Schizosaccharomyces pombe: one gene and its partners. Changing the gene in region 4 together with the main gene of any one other region gives a genetic interaction. Each region holds a gene or a part of one and is shown on either strand. Other genes may lie near its edges.

The links.
Region 1: mutations in cid14 (region 4) and rdp1 are lethal when combined (synthetic lethality), as found in Schizosaccharomyces pombe (one study listed by BioGRID).
Region 2: mutations in cid14 (region 4) and tho5 impair growth when combined (synthetic growth defect), as found in Schizosaccharomyces pombe (one study listed by BioGRID).
Region 3: mutations in cid14 (region 4) and tho7 impair growth when combined (synthetic growth defect), as found in Schizosaccharomyces pombe (one study listed by BioGRID).

The regions. Positions count from the first base shown.
Region 1 is NC_003424.3:1,323,238-1,329,571, reverse strand, and holds rdp1 (RNA-directed RNA polymerase (RDRC) Rdp1), read right to left. Parts: upstream 4,632-6,334; 5' UTR 4,567-4,631; exon of another isoform or gene 4,487-4,566; 5' UTR 4,320-4,486; coding exon 672-4,319; 3' UTR 511-671; downstream 1-510. Other genes in the region: phosphoribosylformylglycinamidine synthase Ade3, read left to right, coding at 1-310; exo8 (exocyst complex subunit Exo84), read left to right, coding at 5,236-5,273, 5,320-5,377, 5,432-5,573, 5,617-6,334.
Region 2 is NC_003423.3:754,953-758,573, reverse strand, and holds tho5 (THOC5-like protein), read right to left. Parts: upstream 1,998-3,621; 5' UTR 1,915-1,997; coding exon 1,601-1,914; intron 1,518-1,600; coding exon 1,229-1,517; 3' UTR 1,009-1,228; coding exon of another isoform or gene 828-1,008; 3' UTR 779-827; coding exon of another isoform or gene 623-778; 3' UTR 573-622; downstream 1-572. Other genes in the region: 1-phosphatidylinositol 4-kinase Stt4, read left to right, coding at 1-99, 153-166; meiotic recombination protein Rec27, read left to right, coding at 532-572, 623-778, 828-1,008; SPOM_SPBC577.03C (GCN5-related N-acetyltransferase), read left to right, coding at 2,291-2,477, 2,551-3,014; rpl3801 (60S ribosomal protein eL38), read right to left, coding at 3,390-3,424, 3,604-3,621. UniProt on the Schizosaccharomyces pombe protein: Component the THO subcomplex of the TREX complex, which operates in coupling transcription elongation to mRNA export. The THO complex is recruited to transcribed genes and moves along the gene with the elongating polymerase during transcription.
Region 3 is NC_003421.2:919,546-923,041, reverse strand, and holds tho7 (THO complex subunit Tho7), read left to right. Parts: upstream 1-1,791; 5' UTR 1,792-1,820; coding exon 1,821-1,827; intron 1,828-1,844; exon of another isoform or gene 1,845-1,880; coding exon 1,881-2,099; exon of another isoform or gene 2,100-2,155; coding exon 2,156-2,306; exon of another isoform or gene 2,307-2,355; coding exon 2,356-2,587; 3' UTR 2,588-2,956; downstream 2,957-3,496. Other genes in the region: EKC/KEOPS complex subunit Cgi121, read right to left, coding at 1,096-1,620; yta4 (ATPase Msp1), read left to right, coding at 3,203-3,496.
Region 4 is NC_003424.3:319,786-324,668, reverse strand, and holds cid14 (TRAMP complex poly(A) polymerase subunit Cid14), read right to left. Parts: upstream 2,865-4,883; 5' UTR 2,746-2,864; coding exon 691-2,745; 3' UTR 540-690; downstream 1-539. Other genes in the region: gms2 (NST UDP-galactose transporter), read left to right, coding at 1-207, 262-475; mRNA cleavage and polyadenylation specificity factor complex, WD repeat protein Pfs2, read right to left, coding at 3,166-4,695. UniProt on the Schizosaccharomyces pombe protein: Required for 3' polyadenylation of the 5.8S and 25S rRNAs as a prelude to their degradation in the exosome. Involved in the nucleolar organization to ensure faithful chromosome segregation during mitosis.

The DNA of each region.
Region 1 (6,334 bases), 1.0 Mb from region 4:
AGAAGGTAGAGCTGTTTTCGATTCAGAGTCCGATTACGAACAATTTAAGAAGGAAGGTTTGGATTTGATATACTACGTTAACAACTACAACGAGCGTACTAGCCGTTATCCATTCAACCCTAATGGAAGCAGAGATGCTATAGCTGGTGTTCGCTCCCCTTGTGGTCGCTTTTTAGCTATGATGCCTCACCCTGAACGTGTAGTTTTGAAAGTTGCAAACAGTTATTACCCTCATTCGAAAGCTAGCGAGTGGGGCGTTCATGGTCCTTGGATCCGTCTTTTCCAATCTGCTAGAAAATGGGTTGGTTAAAGCATTTATCTTGCCCGGAGAAGCTGAATTGGAGTTCACATGCCGTAGTTTCTTTACAGTTTTGGTTTGTTTCGTGTTACAAAATTTTATAATTATTCTACTTAAATTAATGGTGAAAATTAGATTAAGCTTGGCAGATATAAAAATCGTTAATTATACATTATTACGATTAAATTGCTTTAACCATCGAGTATATGTGTAAAAATTATGACAACTCTTTTCCTTCAGCAGAAACATACAACAGTCTTGTTAAATGTTAACTCTAGCTACCTGTTTTGCTGTTCTATGTTCCATTGTCGATAATGAGTACAATTACTATTAGCCTTTTACGAGCAATTAAAGCTTCGAATGTATATTCGATTTAAAAATTATTAGCAGTAAGCATGGCTTTTCGTGAAAGCTGACAAAGACGACTAGAAAATAAATATGGAAATGAAATCAATACCTCAGTAGTGCCATTGCCAACAGATTTGACACGTTGATCGTATGTCACATCGTAAGTGGCAGCAACCGCACTGTTTATCCGTTCTTCATATTCCGAAGAATCAAATGCCGATTGATTTGATAAAGCGCATTTCTCTAAGTACTCTTGAGTGTATTTTTTCTTTAGAAGGTCGAACTGAAAGCTAACTTCCTCCCTAAGACCATATTCATTTACGGTTTTAGCTAAATCATCTTTAAAAAGGATAAAAGCTGTGTAAACTTCATATTCTGTGGAAATATCAAAACGAGCCATAATTGATCTCAGGTCATTATCATAGTGTTTCTTCACTTCTTCAGCTACATTCAGATATTCAGTTTTAAACCTTGGAAGTTTCATACAAGGATCATAAACAGTATTCATTATCGGATTATAAGTTGCAGGTCTGCCACTTTCTCTTTGGAATCGTGCAGCGTATCTGAAAATTTTGCCAACCGCGGTTTCGGAACGAAAAGAACGAGTTTTTGTTTTTTGCATGAAGTCAGGATATCGTTTGGGATGGTATTTGGCTTGCATTTTACAAGCTACTCCCGATTTAGCAAAATCTACAGCTTTTGAATGCATTTCTGCAAGTTCTAAACACACATTTCCAAATATCCCTTCCGGATTATTATCATGGTCATGGGCCCATGCCTTCCAAGCATTTGAAATTAGACCTAGCGAATCATATTTTATATAATTCACAAAAAATTCTTTTACCGAATCGATAAGTGGCTTTCCTTCCAAAAAATCTATAGACTTCTTGGGAGATGATTCAAGCAATGGGGGATAATTAACAATTTTAGGAAGAAGACGTTGATCCCATATAACTGTGTACTCATCCCCATCCAGATCACCACCAGAGCACATAGCAGGAATGCTTCGATCACCCGTTGTCGGAAACACTATCACATTTTTTAAATGCATAAGCTCATCGCATCTGACAGCTTTACAGACACGTACGTCACCTGGATGAAGCGAGGGATTCCTTGCAACAATACACAATCCAACTATAACCCTTGTTTTCAGCTTTCCAGTTGAATATGAACCAAAACTGGTAGAAGTGTCGGTAATTTGGATGAAAATTTCAGGTACTGACAAAACAGCATCATCATAATGACCCTTTAGTGTTCCAGTTTCATCAGCTACACCAAGTAAATAGGCACCCTTTGGAACACTAACTTTTTGTTTTTCCTTAATTAACCTAAGAACCCATTCATAATATAGATTTAATAAATTCTCGGTGAAAGCATCATCTCTTTCAAGGAAACCGGCCTGGATAAAATCAGCAATAATTAAAGTAGAGTGATATTCATCTACGTTGTCCCGTAACATTAAAATGGATTTTTGTTTGCTGTTTATCGATTCGTTCATTTTTGACAACTGACTTCTAGTCAATTCCAAAAATACGGTTTTTTCAACCCCGAGTCCTTCCAATAAGGTGATCAGTTGCATATTCAGATGGGCATTTGAAAATCGAGATATTTTAATAACTTCCAAGGTACTATGGAATGATTTAAATTTATCTTGACTACGGCGTGGAAACACAAGATTTCCTTGATGGTATTCAAGCTTAGTCGGAGGAGCTAAAGATAAAACGCCTTTATAACCACCCATACGAAATTGAAACGCAGAGGGAAACATATCATGATTTTTTACTTCCAAAGAAAGTCTTCGAATTACAGATAATGATGCCATTCCAACCCCATCAGTAAAGCAGTGGTTGTTACGAACAATATCATCCTGAAGGGATATGTCAACACAAAATCGATTAATTTCCTTTGTCGTTGAAAAGCATTGTCCCATCCTTGCTGCATACTTAGATACTGAATTGATTTCACTAAAGTCACCCATCCATTCCCTGATCTGTTTGGCATTTAGATCAGATCCCGAAGCAAAAAAGTAAGCACCATGCTCTCTTAATTGAGAATTTCCAAAAGCTAAAAATTCGTAAATTTGATTACCAACTTTAATTCCGTAGGTTAATAATTGTTGGATGCGAGAATACAATTTTTCATTTCTAAACCCATCAGAACCGCCTCGAATTTTTTGCTTATAGTATTCATCAGTTATTTGCACACGCATAAAACGGTTTGCAAAGTCCTTAAAATTTCTTATAACACGATTTCCTGCTTCTAATGAGTCTTCAACTATTCGAAGAGTAGTAGGTGTAACGTACAATTTTTTAATGTGAATAGAAGAAGCGGAAGATAAATCGTAAAAGACAAAAGACTTAGTAAAATCTAGCTCAGAAGGATTTATTAAAGCGGTTTTGGACGTTAGAATTAGTCTTAGGAATTTTTTTGCTCTCTCTTTCGATAATTTCTTTAAATTCGCCAATATAATGGGCAAATCAATTTCTGATAATAAGTTTTTAGAAAGGCAAGCCTGCAAAAGATAAGCAATCTCTTCCTCAATTTCTTTATCATTTATTAGACTACAGCGATGTTTGTAGTCTGGGACAAGATGGAAAACCACTTTATCAAGTTGACTTTTCAAATTGAATTTTTCCAAGTTGTGTAAAAGAAAGGCAATGTCATCTTTATCAGACTCATCCCTTATGGAAAAGCTAAGGACTAAAACATTGCAGCGTCCAATGGGGGCGTTATGGCAATTAAGTAGCTCTATAGGACTAGCAGTCGTTGGTGAAACATTGAAAGGTAGAATATCATAATGTCGTCTCCAAAGATGAGATGCAGTCCAGAAAGTTTGAACTCTGGATTCAGTTGCATTTTTAGATTTTCTGAAAATTAGTGGAGAAAATCTAAATCTAAATACGAGGGAAATATGATCATCGTAATAATCCGTCCCTACATCGCCTATTATGGAATGAAAATCGAAGTCCAGACGAAAGGTTTCGATCTGTTTGTCAAAAGAAGCATCAAAGAGAACACAGAGCTTTTTGAAATTAAAATATACAAGTAAGTTTGATTCAGTTACAGTTATTCCACAATCAACACCAAACAGTGGGACAATTCTTTCATCATAAACTTGCCCGAGCTTAAAGGAGGATAACGGGATTTTTACTAGCTGATCGCTTCTAAAACTATTCTTAGAGAAAACTTGTCGGCTGATGTGGGAACGATGTGCTGTTATGTCAATTTGAACAGCTAGATCAACACCTTTGACATTTATTTTCCCATTTGGTTCCCAGAATGGAACTTTGGGAGGAGGAGCAAATTGGACTATTGCAGTAGTACTTGTCTGTCCATTCAAAGGTTCATTAATCTTCATGAATTCTATTGTACCGTAATCATGAAGGGGTTCCCACAAGTTGTATAGTTTTCCTCCCTCATTTGAAAGCCAAGTAACTGGAATATCTTTTATGACAAGTGTAATCATATCCCCCAATCTCCAAGTACTACTTCTTTGGATTAGACAATTATCATTTCGTTTATTAGCCGAGTGCAACTGAGCTTCATTATTGTGAACGGAAGCCCATTTCTTTTGCTTTTTGTTTCTATATGGGACTCTAAGTCTTTCCCAGGGTGACTCACGAGAATAACGTTTTAATTTAACACTTATAAAGTCATTTAACGAAACTGCCATTGCTTTACATTGCCATACAAAATCTGGATTTAATTATAACCCTGACAACAAATCAATTTGGAACCTTTTGTAAAAATAAAACACTAAATCTCATAGCGCCTTTATGCAGTATCAGCAGCCTCGCTCTGCGAAGTGGTCTTTTATCATAGAAGATTCCTTTCAGCTGGCTATAAATTCGTTAGATACGAAAAACCTTCGATTTATATAAAAAAGATTATAATGTTCCTATTTATCCACTTATACATACATGTATATGTGTGCCTTTTTAATTTAATTGACCGTTATAGTATCAATATCTATGAATTGCTCTTGAAGGAAGTTTGTAGCACGGTGGAATAAAGTTAAGTGAAGGCTCCTTTACGTATAGGGAAGTAGAATCAAAATACTAAGAATACATATTCATCCTATATGAACCGGCAAGTTGAATTTCAGTTTTCAATCCAAAGCAGATATTGAGGTAGTTTTTTCACCAAGGAATAAAAAATTGTTAGGAAACTTCCATCAGTTAAACGACTGATATCATGCACCTTAATTCATGTTCAATATCGTGTTATAATATCTAGCTGATATTTACTATAAATTTATTTTTTAAGCATGGTATATAATTTGAGCTACGTAGCTTTACTCGTTTCAAAATTAAGTGCAGCCCTGATATTCCAAACCCCTCGTCAGCGCTTGATTTTACAAACACGTCCAACTACTTCGGCAAAGCAAACAACTTAATAGATTTTTAAAAATAGAGCAATTGCTCAAGGATAAATTAATTTATTATTCCTATTTGTAAATACCACAAATAGGTTCTTCATTCCCTTATTTTAATTGGTAAATTGTTAAACTTATTTCAAATGTGAAGCATTCAATTTAACATCCTTTAGATACATAATATTTATTCTTCTATCAGAAACTTGAAAAAAAAATGCCTGACAATCCATCTTCTTTTGAAGATGAATTCATGTACGCAGCTAGAGAATATCGGGTGTTTGAGCTAATTTTTTGTTAGGAAATCTAATCATTTAAGTGTTGCTTCGGAGTCCATACCAAATGAAAGCCAAAGACAGGTATGTACTGAAGTTAAATAAAAACAACCTATTACTAAAACTGCTTTTTAAAAGTCACCGACGCGATTACGAGTCGGTACCTCTAAAACAGATGATATTTATCGACAAAAACGGCAAACAAAACATATCATTTCACAAAATGAAGTTTTTTTACAGCCTAAATTTTTCGATAATCAAAATTTTGATGCTCAAAGCTGTATGTGTAATTATGTCTATTGGAAACTAATTTTGCAAAAAAGATTTAAACGATGTTTTACAGGACCTTAGTGAAGATGAATTTGTGTCTTTATACAATAAGCTTCTACGCATTCACATGGGCGTCCGTAAAAATTTGGAAAAGAATTTTTACAAAAATTTGAATGAATATGTATTTATATCAGGGGAGGTTGAGAGCATGACTTCAGATTTTAAAAAGTTTCAGTCTCTGTTGAAAACCCTGGAGACTGACATTGAAGGATTAAACTTGGTCGACCATACGCATGACCCTTCCGACGAATCAATAAAACAAACGGTACAGAGACTACGATCATCCATTGAAGGGCTAGATGAAGCATTCTGGGAAGCGCCTCAAAGACAGCTTATATGTGAGCAATACAATTGGATGTTAATCAATATTGACAATCAGAGACCTAAGCTTCTTGTCAATATGCTTCTGTTTAATGATAGACTGTTGGTTACTACTTCTCACATGAAAGAAGTTGATTTCCCTGCTAAGCAGCAGGTTTTGTATAATTGGAATTTAACCGAAATTTCTATTTCTTCAATTGAAACTTATGGACCAGCAGGTGCTGAAATGCTGCAGAAGGAGAAAGAGGTCTCTCTATACAAACTGTCAATTAACCATAACAATAAGACCACATTGTTGGCAGTACACAATAGTGAAGAAAGGGATTATATGGTTCGTCAGGCTCGCCATCACCAGCTTCAAGAACTAGAAAATTGGTCTAGAAAGCATGA
Region 2 (3,621 bases), on a different chromosome or scaffold from region 4:
ATGAACGGCAAGCATCTACATTTATGCTTCATTTGATTGAGCAGAGTTATGCAAACAAACGTACGCTTATGTACGATCAATTCCAGAAGGCCACAAATGGTAAGATGATTTTAAGCAATATAAATGAGCAACTAATTACTAACTTTTTTAAGGTATTCCTTATTAATATAAAACAACCAGCAATAATAATTATTATCCGTTTAAGTACCTTGCAGCTAAGTTTATTAGATCTAATATAACGATCATTCAGTCATAATAGTTTCTTCTGCAATGTCTTTTTTGTATTGTAGTACGATAATTTATCACATTAACTATTGAATAATGAAACGCGTTTACAGGTATCGCATTGTCAAGTATCTGTTGTATATTTTAGCATATGGCAACTCACTCTTGTAAAGGCTTTATGAATGTTAATTTAAAAAAAAAACAACTTCAAATAACTAGGTATGTATTTTTGAGTCATTTGCTGCCTGCCATTTTTTACTAGGATATAAATAAATTATGGTAACTTTCCTTCTAACAAATACGAATATGAAGAAAAGATCAGAAACATTAGGCTCGGATCAATCTAGGTATGAAAGTAAAGGGAAAAATAATTATAAACGTATACTAATTAAATCAGCTCTGAAATAATTGAGCATGTTTTGGAAGAGTTAAACCTCAAAAACATTGAAAGACGCGTCAAAAAGTATGACCAAATTGAAAGCGAATACAAGACCAATATAGAAAATGAGAAAAAGGCTTTTATAAAGGATGTTTCCCAGGTTCAACAGAAAATGTACGAAAATAAAACGGTAATCCTGGCAGTCATTAACATCAAATTATAGAAAGGAATTTGAGATACAAAAAGCGAATCAAATTAAACAATTGAACGAAGAAAAGCTTTCTATAGAAGCTAGAAAACAACAACTCGAAATCGAAATACGCAATCAGTTGTTACAGTATGCCGAGAAACTGCGAATTGTTGTTAAAACCCCAATGAACCAACCAACAAATACAGAAGTATAAAGTCATTTTAAACACATTATATAAACTAGTGCCATAAAATCATAAAACGAATTAAAAATATGTTATGAGCATACAATTTAATTGAAACTTCAAACTTGAGAATTGAAAAAGTAAAGTGAGGCTAATCGTTTCTAAAAATCTAAATCCGTTCTTTTTATTAAACGCTAAAAAATGGGTAGTAAATGAAATGAATAAACACATAAGTTTTCATGGGAATAATTTACATGGAGGTAATGTTATAGTACTCCTGGACAGGCACGCTGGAGCGAAGGAAAGTCTGCAGCTTTTCATCTCCTTTCTGCAATGCATTCCTCTTTGCTTTATTTTCAGATATTAATGCAGCTTTCCTCTTTAAAAGTTCCTGCTTTAAGGTGGAAAGTCGTTGACGTTCTTTCAGTTCGTCTTCAAGAATCGCAAGCATTAGATCATGATCATTCGAACTCTTAAATTCCGGGTGTTCCTTCAAAAATTCTTCTTTTGAGACGAGTGGTAACGCTGTGTATATATGTCTATTAAAATGGTTAGAAAGAAATGAACAAAGACTTTTGAAATCTGAAAAAAAAAAAAAAAAAGGTAAGGAACTTTCACGTACTCCTTTTCTTCGTAATTTTTTATTATCGTTTTTAAATGCAGCTTTTTGTACTGTAACGCCTGAAGCCGTATACGGGCGTTATCGAGTTCAGACTTGTGTTCGGCTGTTATAGTCTTTGCTTGTACGAGCTGTTCGTAAGATTTTCTATTTGCTTCTCGCAAGATTAAGAGCTTTGACATTAACTGTCGTTTAATTTGCTCGGGATTTTGATCGTCGGCATCTCTGCTATGCTGTTTCAACTCATGAATTCGCAAACACAATGTTCGAGTTGAGTCAAGAACGTTCAAACAATCTGATATTGCATTTTCTGTCATTTTTACGACGAAATACTACTCTTTCTTGGAAATTTTGTAGGAGGAGGTTTCCAAATTGTTTAAAAGAGTAGACGTTTGGGCTTAACTCGTCAACTCAGTATAGCTACGCCTTTACTACCATAAAGGTTAACTGACTAAAACTAACTTCTTATAAGTTGAGCCTTGAATTTATTGTATATATTTGAGAGATTTTCGTTGAATGTCTTTTCAATCAGAGTTCTCGTAAAACTATTTTACTAAACATCAAATCACGTTTTTTTTATCCGTTGCATATATTCAACTTCACGGTTCGGTATCATTTTGATTGATACTGTAAACATTTGGAATAAGTGAGTATTTGGCTATTGAAGAGTCGGTAAAAAAAAGTGTGCTTTCAATGAAAATTAATCAAAATACTACTGTTGATTGCGGCAACTTGATTCTCGTGCCATATCAAAAATGCCATGTGTTAAAATACCATAACTGGATGAAAAATGAGGAATTGCAAGAGCTTACTTGTTCAGAGCCTTTAACTCTTGACGAAGAATATCAAATGCAGGCCTCATGGAGTACTGATGAAGATAGTATGTTATGATGGTTCAACATTCGTGATTGATCAATTGCATCACAAGTTCTAATCATTTTCTAACGATATAGAGCTGACGTTTATCGTTTTACTAAACGAAAACGATGAAGCTAAGAAACCTTCAATTTTGGATCATGTAAAAGCCCACAGCGTTGAATCAATGATTGGGGATGTGAACATGTTTTTGACTGAGGAATACGCAGACGGTATAGAAGAATTTGATGATTCTCCCAGTGATGCTAATGCTACCAATGCTACGAAGGAGTCAGAGGTACATATAGTAGGTGAACTTGAATTGATGATTGCAGAGCCTCAGAATAGAAGGAAAGGATATGGAACCAAGATTGTAGATGCATTTTTGCACTATGTTGAATCCAGTGGAATTGCCAAAAATAAGCAAATCCTTAAGTATCGAGTCAAAGTTGGCTCCCAAAACAAGCCTAGTATTCGGCTATTCAAGAAATTGGGCTTCTCTCAAGTTAAGTACAACGCTTATTTTGATCATGTAGAGCTTGAACTAATGAGGACTTCATAAGCGATGCAACAACGCTTAAAGTTATTTACTTGTTTACTTTATGCAAGTGTTACATGCAGCGAACTACTTTAAAAGGGTTTATTAAAAATTGTTTTCTACACAACCCTATGGCTAATTATACCTCTCATCTCGCAACAACAATTATTTACATACAGACCTTTATTTTATAATCGCGAATTGGGTCTGCTTATAAAATTCGTGAACAACTTGGATAATTTCACCGATTTCTACTCTTCGATTTTTACATTACATTACAAAATAATATGAATACAATCTTTATTGATCATTTTACTTTTGAAAAAGAAAATTTTTGTTTTTAACTGAATGCAAAAACCATGAGAGGTTTCTTTTTCATTAATCACTCAACCAGAAACTTTATGCCTTCTTTCCAACCTCAGTAACGGTCAAATCTATAGAAAACTTGTTAGCTTGAGTTCACTTATATGAACGATTAACTCAGAGCTGATCATTTGTTTCACGAATTATCAACGCTTTAGGAAGAATTCCTTCGCAAAATGCTTTAAGGAAATGTAGTTCCCTCAATAAAAAGTAACTGAGTTAATCTTTCTTAGTAGTTTATATAACATACCGGGAGGAAGAGATTGAC
Region 3 (3,496 bases), on a different chromosome or scaffold from region 4:
AACGATTTAAATTAATCAAAAGAAATCATACGGATCAACGACAGCGTTAAATTTACACTATACTTAGCAAGTCCATAAAAAAACAGGTGTATTGGCGAAAAGTCAACAGATGAACAAATGCTCTCTTCAACGTTGAGTTTTTGTCTTCAAATGACTTTTGAAAAGGAAAAAAAGAAAACAAAACAAATAAAAACAAAAATAAAAGAACCAAAAAGAATGATAAAAAAAATCAAAGCGGAAAATAAAAAAAACGCGGTATTGACGGATAATGACAATTCTGCCTAAGAAATTTAGTTTTTCTCTAATCGGCTGCCTGCATATGATTATATGAATGTAGTTTTAACAGATTTGTACTTGTTAAAATGAAATTTCCATAAGGAAGAGTTTTCGCGTGACTGGGAAACGGATGGCTTGATATCACAAATTCCGGCTTAGCAGTCAATACCGCAAGAAGGCAAGTTAAATCCGTAAATAAACAATTTTGACAAAGAGCTGCCAGTTAATTGTAAAACATACGATGTAAAAACCTTTATTGTTGTATAAAAATAGTTCTTACCTTTGCGACCTGCTTTTCTTTATAACAGGAGCATAAGGTGCGCAATAAAAAACCCATTAATTTATAATCCCATTAAACTTTTAATAACTATTCACATAATGGTAAACTTTTTGCACTGAGATCCACCATATAGTAATTCATCGCCAATAGACCTGAGCAAAAAATATTGCACAAGAACAAAACATGATGTCAAATAACACTAAAGCATTCCCTAGGTAAAAGTATCGAAACAGATAATCGTAATGAAATGCCCTTAGTTACTTTAGTAAAACTGTCAAGAGATCATAAAACTGAACCAAACCAGAGGGCATAACTTTACGTGCCATCCTTTACCAATTCGTAAATCAAAAATTGATTATGTAGGTGCTTGCTAAATAGTTTGTACAGTCATTTGAGAGAGGAAAAAATTATAAGGAATAGAAGAATCCACACAACGTTCCATTTGGAACTCTCATCATTATCATTCAAGCCGCATAGAAAAATAGTCAAATCAATTGTGAAACATTGACAAAAGATCAGATTTGCTAGAACATATGTTTTTAAGAATAACCACGTAGAGCTATCGAAGATAATATAGAGGCCAAAGGATTCTCAAGCGTAGAGGGATCCAATTTGTAATTCTTTTTTAACACCTTGAAGTCTATTAATTTTTGTAACTCTTCGTCAGAAAATTCGACCCTATTACCTTCCACAAGTTTGTCCAAGCGCTCAAATTCTTCTTCTTCTGTAAGTTTGCTATCAATTTTTACCACTACAATGTTTTTAGATTTTTTTGTCATGCTGAATTGTCGGAACGCACTAGAAATTTCGGTTTTTGGGGACAATGACAAAATAACCTCTGAGTGAATCGTCTTAGTTTTCATTTGTTCGTCCCTTCTATCTTCGAGAGCCCTAATAATAGCGCTATAAACCTGCTTTTTATATAGAATAGTAGCGGCATCGAGAAACGCATAGTCATAAATGGGATTCTGGCTTATTAGTTGTTCATGAATCGCAGCACAGTTAGAAACATTTTCATATACAAAAACATGAACTTGTGTCTCTGGAAAAAGAGGTAAAATCATTTTGCCCGCCTGTTCTATAGCAATATCAAACTGCAATCCTTGTTAGCGTTTTTACATTTCTTAGGTAATAATCGTACTAATAACTTTTTGCCGGTAAACATCGGTAAAATACGGTGACTAAAACTCCGAACACTCCAGCTACTGACTTAGCGCCCAACTAAATTGTATAGTGAATTTGCTTTTTTTTTACTCAATTCATTATGGAGGGTATGCTATAAATAATTTTTTTTTTGAAAATATTAAGTTAACCGATATGTCAGAGACGGCGATTCGATCGCGCTTAACTGTGGAAGAACGGCCTTTGAAACGGTTGATTAGTCGGTGTCTTGGTTTTGCTGCTCAAAATGTAGACGAAGCAAACTTAAGGGATTTAGAAATTGAATTTTCTGCTCTCTCTGCTTTTTGGCTTCGATTGCAAATGCAATTAGACATGAATGCTAAAGAAGTGGATGTTTACGAAGGAGAACTGAAGAAGACTCGTATGTGATTAAATTCGTAACTTTAAGTACAGTGATGTTTTTATTAATATTTTCAGAAACATTTTGTGAAGCAGAAAAAACCGAAATAAGCCAGCTTGAGCAAGATTTACTAGTTGCCCAAGAAGAATTAAGAAAGCGTGAACAATACGACGAGTTGGCCAAGCCAATAATGTCAAAAGGATTGAGATCAAGAACAGAACAACAAGAGTAAGTTTCCAGATTTATATTGAATATTTTAGACTGACCGGGTTTACAGATCAATAGGAAAGTTGCAAGATGCTATTCGTGAGTTAGAAGAAGAAAACGCGAATTATGTAAAAGCATGGAATTTGAGAAAAGATATTTTTGATGAAACTTTAAAGCAAATGAACCACCTACAGTCTATATTGCATCCTCCTAGTAATCCCGAATCTGATTCAGAAGAAGGCATTGCTAGTGAAGGTGAAAATCCTTCGTCGTCAAGTTCGACTCAATACAAGGCCAAATAAATCCTAGGAGGAAAAAATTGTATATAATTTAAAAATTTTCGTGAATTTACGAATGATAGGAATGGTTTTTCCGTTTAGGATATGTTAAACAGTGAGCTTCACTGGACGGGCATAGCGATTTAGTCTTGATATGTCCTTTATTGTTTTGTATATAGTTCCGTTAGGTTCCCTTTTGGATATTTATAAGTATATCCAAATCTCCTAAAAGGTTTCTCGCTCCATTTTTATTCTCATTTTTCAATGGGTTATTTACTCAGAAAAAATCTCTGCTTAATTATTATTGTTTACTAATTGTTATTTCATCTATAACCAAATCTTTTGGCACAGAGAGTAAATATTTATTGTTACATTACCACTTTTGATAATTGATAACTGCGCTTTGAAACCATTGGGATTGTTTCTTTAGGAAAATGAAAATTTTTTATTTAAAAATAATTTTTTCAATGAATATATTTTCCAAACAATGTAGCAAAGTACGATCAACTTTGTATATCTTCTTTACCCATTTAGCTGAACATACCAACCGCCCCAATAGTAGTAGCGTGCCACCAGACAAATTTACTGCATAAAATTTTGTGTGCTTGCATTTTGAAGTTTATTACTGGGGAATTGATTATGAATCCGACGACTAAAAGGGCAATTAAAGAGATCGTTGTCTATGCCTTAGCATTTGGTTGCTCTTGGTACGCAGCACATAAACTTTTGTCTACTTTAGATCCGTATCGACAAAAAAGGCAGGATACAGTTTCCAAAAGCCGTAAGCGACTTGATGAGTGGGCTGGGGAACAAGTCAAGGAATTGGAGACTCTGGAATTAAATGAGTATGAGCAGATTGTTGCATCACAGCTCGTTCTACCCAGCGAAATCGATGTTTCCTTTGATGATATTGGAGGTATGGATGAACATGTT
Region 4 (4,883 bases):
TATTCAAGTCGACCCTTCAGAATTAGTTGCTTATGAAGGTACTTATGGCGTATTTTTTGTCCTTTTAGGAATGATTATTTCTTACTATTTTATCGGTTCTACTACTGCTGGATACCACGGGTGGTTTGACTATTCACACGTTATATCTCGATTTAATGAAGTCCCTGCACTCTATGTTATTTCTGGAGTTATTTTGGTATCTATTGCGTAAGTTCATGTTAAAAAATTGACCATTCGTATTTACTAACGTTCCAACCTTAGTTTTTTCAACGTTTCCGGCTTAGCCATTACAAAACTTCACTCAGCTACTACCCGATCTCTTTTAGATATTGCTCGAACATTCGGAATTTGGATTATTGCTATGGCAATGGGGATGGAGTCATTCCATTTACTTCAATTCTTGGGATTCGTGCTTCTTATTTATGGCATATTTACTTACCATTCTATCATCAAATTTCCTCTCGCCGAATCGTAATTTCTTAACTAGTTTCATCGTTTATGCAAAATTACTACAGATCCATAGTGAGTTTAAGGTGTTGATTAATTTATTACTGGTATTCGAGTTTACTGGCTAAATCGTAAGTATAATCTATAAAGATAATTTATTAATACAATTATCAAACTATAATCATAATTGATAATAAAACCTTTTATCCCTCTATATAACCTGGTATTTTACATGTAAATTAACTAAAAACGTTTGCGTATTTTTTTCGCTCGAGATTCTTCATCTGAAGCAGTGGTGTCCTCAATAATAGGTACTTCGTCTTCCGAATCGTCACTGCTTATGTTAAATAATTTACTGGGATTAGCTCGAGAATTAGAGGAGGACTGCTCTCCCGTAGATGTCAAAGCTTGCTTCTGAAAATTTTCATGGCCGTTGGTTTCAATTGATTCATTTACTTTAAACAAATCATCCTTTGCAGCATCTGTTTCGTCTGAATCGGATTCATCCTCAACATATTGCAAACCAACGTCTTGCAATGGAAGCTTGTCGACATCAATACTTGCTAAAGCATCCACTTCCACTAAAGGTTCTAAAGGAACTGGATTATTCTTATAACATTTTAACATATGCTCACGATGTTGACGAACCCCTTCATCAACTGATAATATGGTACTTAGGATACTAGGGAAATCTTTGACTCGATTGACACCCTCTCTTTCTATACGAGATGCGAGTGCGTATAATTTACTAGTTAGCAAATCAAAGCCATTTGCAAATGTAGCCTTTACGCGTAATAATCCACGACTAGATTTAGAAACATCATTTTGGAAATCTACCGGATCTTGGATTGAAAGCAAATAAGGCTGGTTTGGCTTCAGCCAACCCATCTTCTTTTTTGAAAAATAAAAACCACCATTGTGAACAGCGATACCGACAGCATCATAATAAAATTGTTTTCCGTACAACTCCAAAAACTCTAGCAGCAAAACACCAAAATTGTCTTCTTCACGCATAGAACCTGTACTAAGTCTAGGGTGTAATTGAAGAAAAGAAACAACCAAACAAACAATCGCATAGCTACTTAATCCGCCCAAGAAGACTTCGTTTAGCGCTCGCATGTTCAAAAAATGTTTAATAATTATTACTAACGGCCTAAGAGCAGGGTATTTTTTCATGAAACCGTTCACTACCAGACATGTCTTCAAACCTCCAGGTTGATTAAAAGATATGTCAACATGAACTTTGGTTAACGGATCAACGAACTTGATGATTGGAACGTTAGCAGTAGTAATGACCTGGACTTCAGAAGCAAGTTTTAGCTTCTTTAGATGATGAGCAAGAACAAACATATCTTTTTTTGTACCCCGATAATGATGCTCAGGTGATATTATTACAAGATCAAGGTCTGAAGTAGGTAAATATAATTTGGTTTCAAAACTTCCAAAAACATAAAGTGATACATCTGGCCATTTTTGCAAGACAGCTTGATTTATACGAGAAACAAGCGTCTTCCGAACCGCATGCTCTTCAGGAGTCGGAGTAATATAGTCAATAAAGTGAAGAATGTCTTGGTGAAAAATTCTAGAGACTTCTCGCTCTACCTTATACTGACGGTGCCAAGGGCATGATTGAGAATCAAGCTCATACGCTTGGCGTTTTCGTTTACGGTTAGAATCCGATTTTTCATTTGCTTCATGAAAAAATCGGCCTCGTTGACGCATAAAGCCAGGGATCTCATTTTTAGAAGACTTTTTTAAGGACTCATTATTCTTGCTTTTATCATTACTAACACTATCCTCGTCTTCATCGCTGTTCCAATCGAACTTGATAAAATCAGAATTATTTTCGACAGCCTTGTCGTGTACAGGGTTAGTTTTTCTACCTTCTCTTTTTGGTATACCTAAAAGAATGGTAGGTTCACCACGTTTTATTGCTTCCTCTGGTAAATCAGGTTTTTCCAGCGGCTCTAATGGATCGGCTTTTCCAAATTGAATATATGGATCGTTTTTGTTTGAAATTTCTACTCCACCTTTATCACGTATTCCTTCTGAATCATTATCATTACGTGATTTTTTACTTCCAATTTCAACCATGGGTTCTTCTTGATCCAGAAGCGTAAAATTGTTATTCAGAAGCATTTCGTCATAAGCGTCTGAATTTTTATCCTTTTCCTTTCTTTTAGATTTAAATTTACTCGGTTTATCGTTTTTAAAAATCCTCCTTGGAAGTGGTTCAGTTCTCTCATTTTTACGCTTTTTATAATTATTGCGGTTAAATGACACGCTTTTTTTACCCATCTCTAAGACATGGATAGAATGGTTTTCTATACCTATCTTGTAGAATTCTTATAAAAATCAATATATGACTAATTGAACCACAATTATTAATCACATAAGATCTTTGAAAATTTGGTGGTGAACAACTTACTAAATGTAGCATACCTAACTATTAACGATTTATTTACGAAAATCGTTGACACTCGGTAATTCAATTTGGGGAACATCTTGTATGGAGAGCGAGATATAGAAGTGCTTGTCGAGTATGAATGGTATAATGTAAATTGTTGCTTAGTTATCATTAAAAAAAAAATTAGTGTAGGTTTTGCTTTGCCAAACCCAATTTTTAGTATGAATCCAGTGAGCTGCGGTGTGAATTTTTTTTTTTTTAAATCTAATTAATGCCAAGTAAATATGTTTTTCAAATAACAAAGAAATGTATTATCGATAGTTTTGAGGATACCCATCTTGTGACTTTGAGGTGAGACCTGGGATAAAAGAGTTTTGAGTTGACGGCTCAGCGTATGAATTGCTCAAAGATGCATGAAGCATACCGGGAATTTGAGGTTGTCCATGTTGATAAGGCGATGGAAAGGAGGGCATAGTCCCTAAACCCGGAAGATTAAGTACTCCAGAAAATTGGGGATTATGGGCATTTGCTAATGTTTCGGTGAGAGGGTTTTCGTCAGGTTCATAATTATCGTCTTCTTCGATCGCTGCTTTTCTCTGACTTAGCATGGCCTCAGACTGTTCTTCACCTAAATGATGGCGATCCATGGTGGATTCCTTGTCATCTGGGCGAGATCTTGACCAAAAACGTGTAGTTTTATCATTTGAACCTGTACATAAAAGATGTCCAAGAGGATGATATTGCATACTCCAAATACCCAAATCATGAGCAAATGGAATTTCAGCAGTAGGGTATAGTAAATAAGAAGACGCGGAAAGAGTAACATTTGGATGCTTTTCATGATACTTTTGCTGAGAAAGTAATGGAGGTTCATCAAGTGAATAATGATTGACACTTCCATCGGAGCCACCAGTAGTAAGCAAATTAGGATAAAGAGGATGCCATGTTACGCAGTTTACGTCCTTTTCATGACCACGTAAAACTCGAACGTCCTTCATGGCACGTAAGTCAAATACTCGACAAGTGCTATCCCTAGAGACTGTAGCCAAATAATTTGATCCAAAATTTTTCTGAAAAGATGCTTGCATTATTGTGTTTTTATGACCATGCAAAGTCGCAATACATGTACCGGTTCTTGGATCCCAAAATTTCACTAAATTGTCTTTAGAACCAGAAGCCAAGAGACCTTTTGAAGGATGCCAATCGACGGTTTTTACATCCCATCCATGACCAGTTAGTTTCAGCTCTTCAGTACTCATATGGAAATTCCATACTTTTAATGAACCATCATCACTCGCTGTGACAAATTTGCTATCATTGGGTGAAAAGGCAACATCTCTAACTTCCATTTCATGAGCTTGAACAATTTTGACATTGTTTAAATTCGGTTCAAAATACTTTACCATGCCTCCTCCATCGCCGGAAATAAGCCAGCGCCCATCTGTACTCCATTCAGCACAACGAACGGCATAATCATGACTCTGATTAATTAACTCAAAATTAAATGTGAGACCATTCCACAGAGTAAATTCACCAGTTGAAGAACCTGTCAACAGTCTTCGACCATCTGGAGTCCAGCGCACAACGTTAATAACATGTCTAGCTTTATTTGCAGACGTATGAATATATTTGGTGCACAAGGAAGATGTGTTATTATACTTGTATTCATAAGGGGGATACAAGTTAATTATTTGATTCGGATTTGGTCTCGGTACATGTATGTGATAGCGATTGCTACGCAAATGTCGATTGACAATATACTTTGATAGCCCTGATCCATAGTCCACAGTCCTACGAGTCATAGGCTTTTGAATAATTCTAGCATTTTCAGCTCTTTCCATGATGAATTAACCAATTCCCCAAAGATGTGAAATTCCTTATTTAGCAGCAATAAAATCAATCTTTAATTTAAATAAAACCAACTTAAAGTTCCTTCTAATGTAGTATAAACTTTACCGTTTTTCGTATGGTATTCTAATATATAGATATTTGGCGCGTTTTACGTGCTGGGAAAATGAGCTAGTATGAC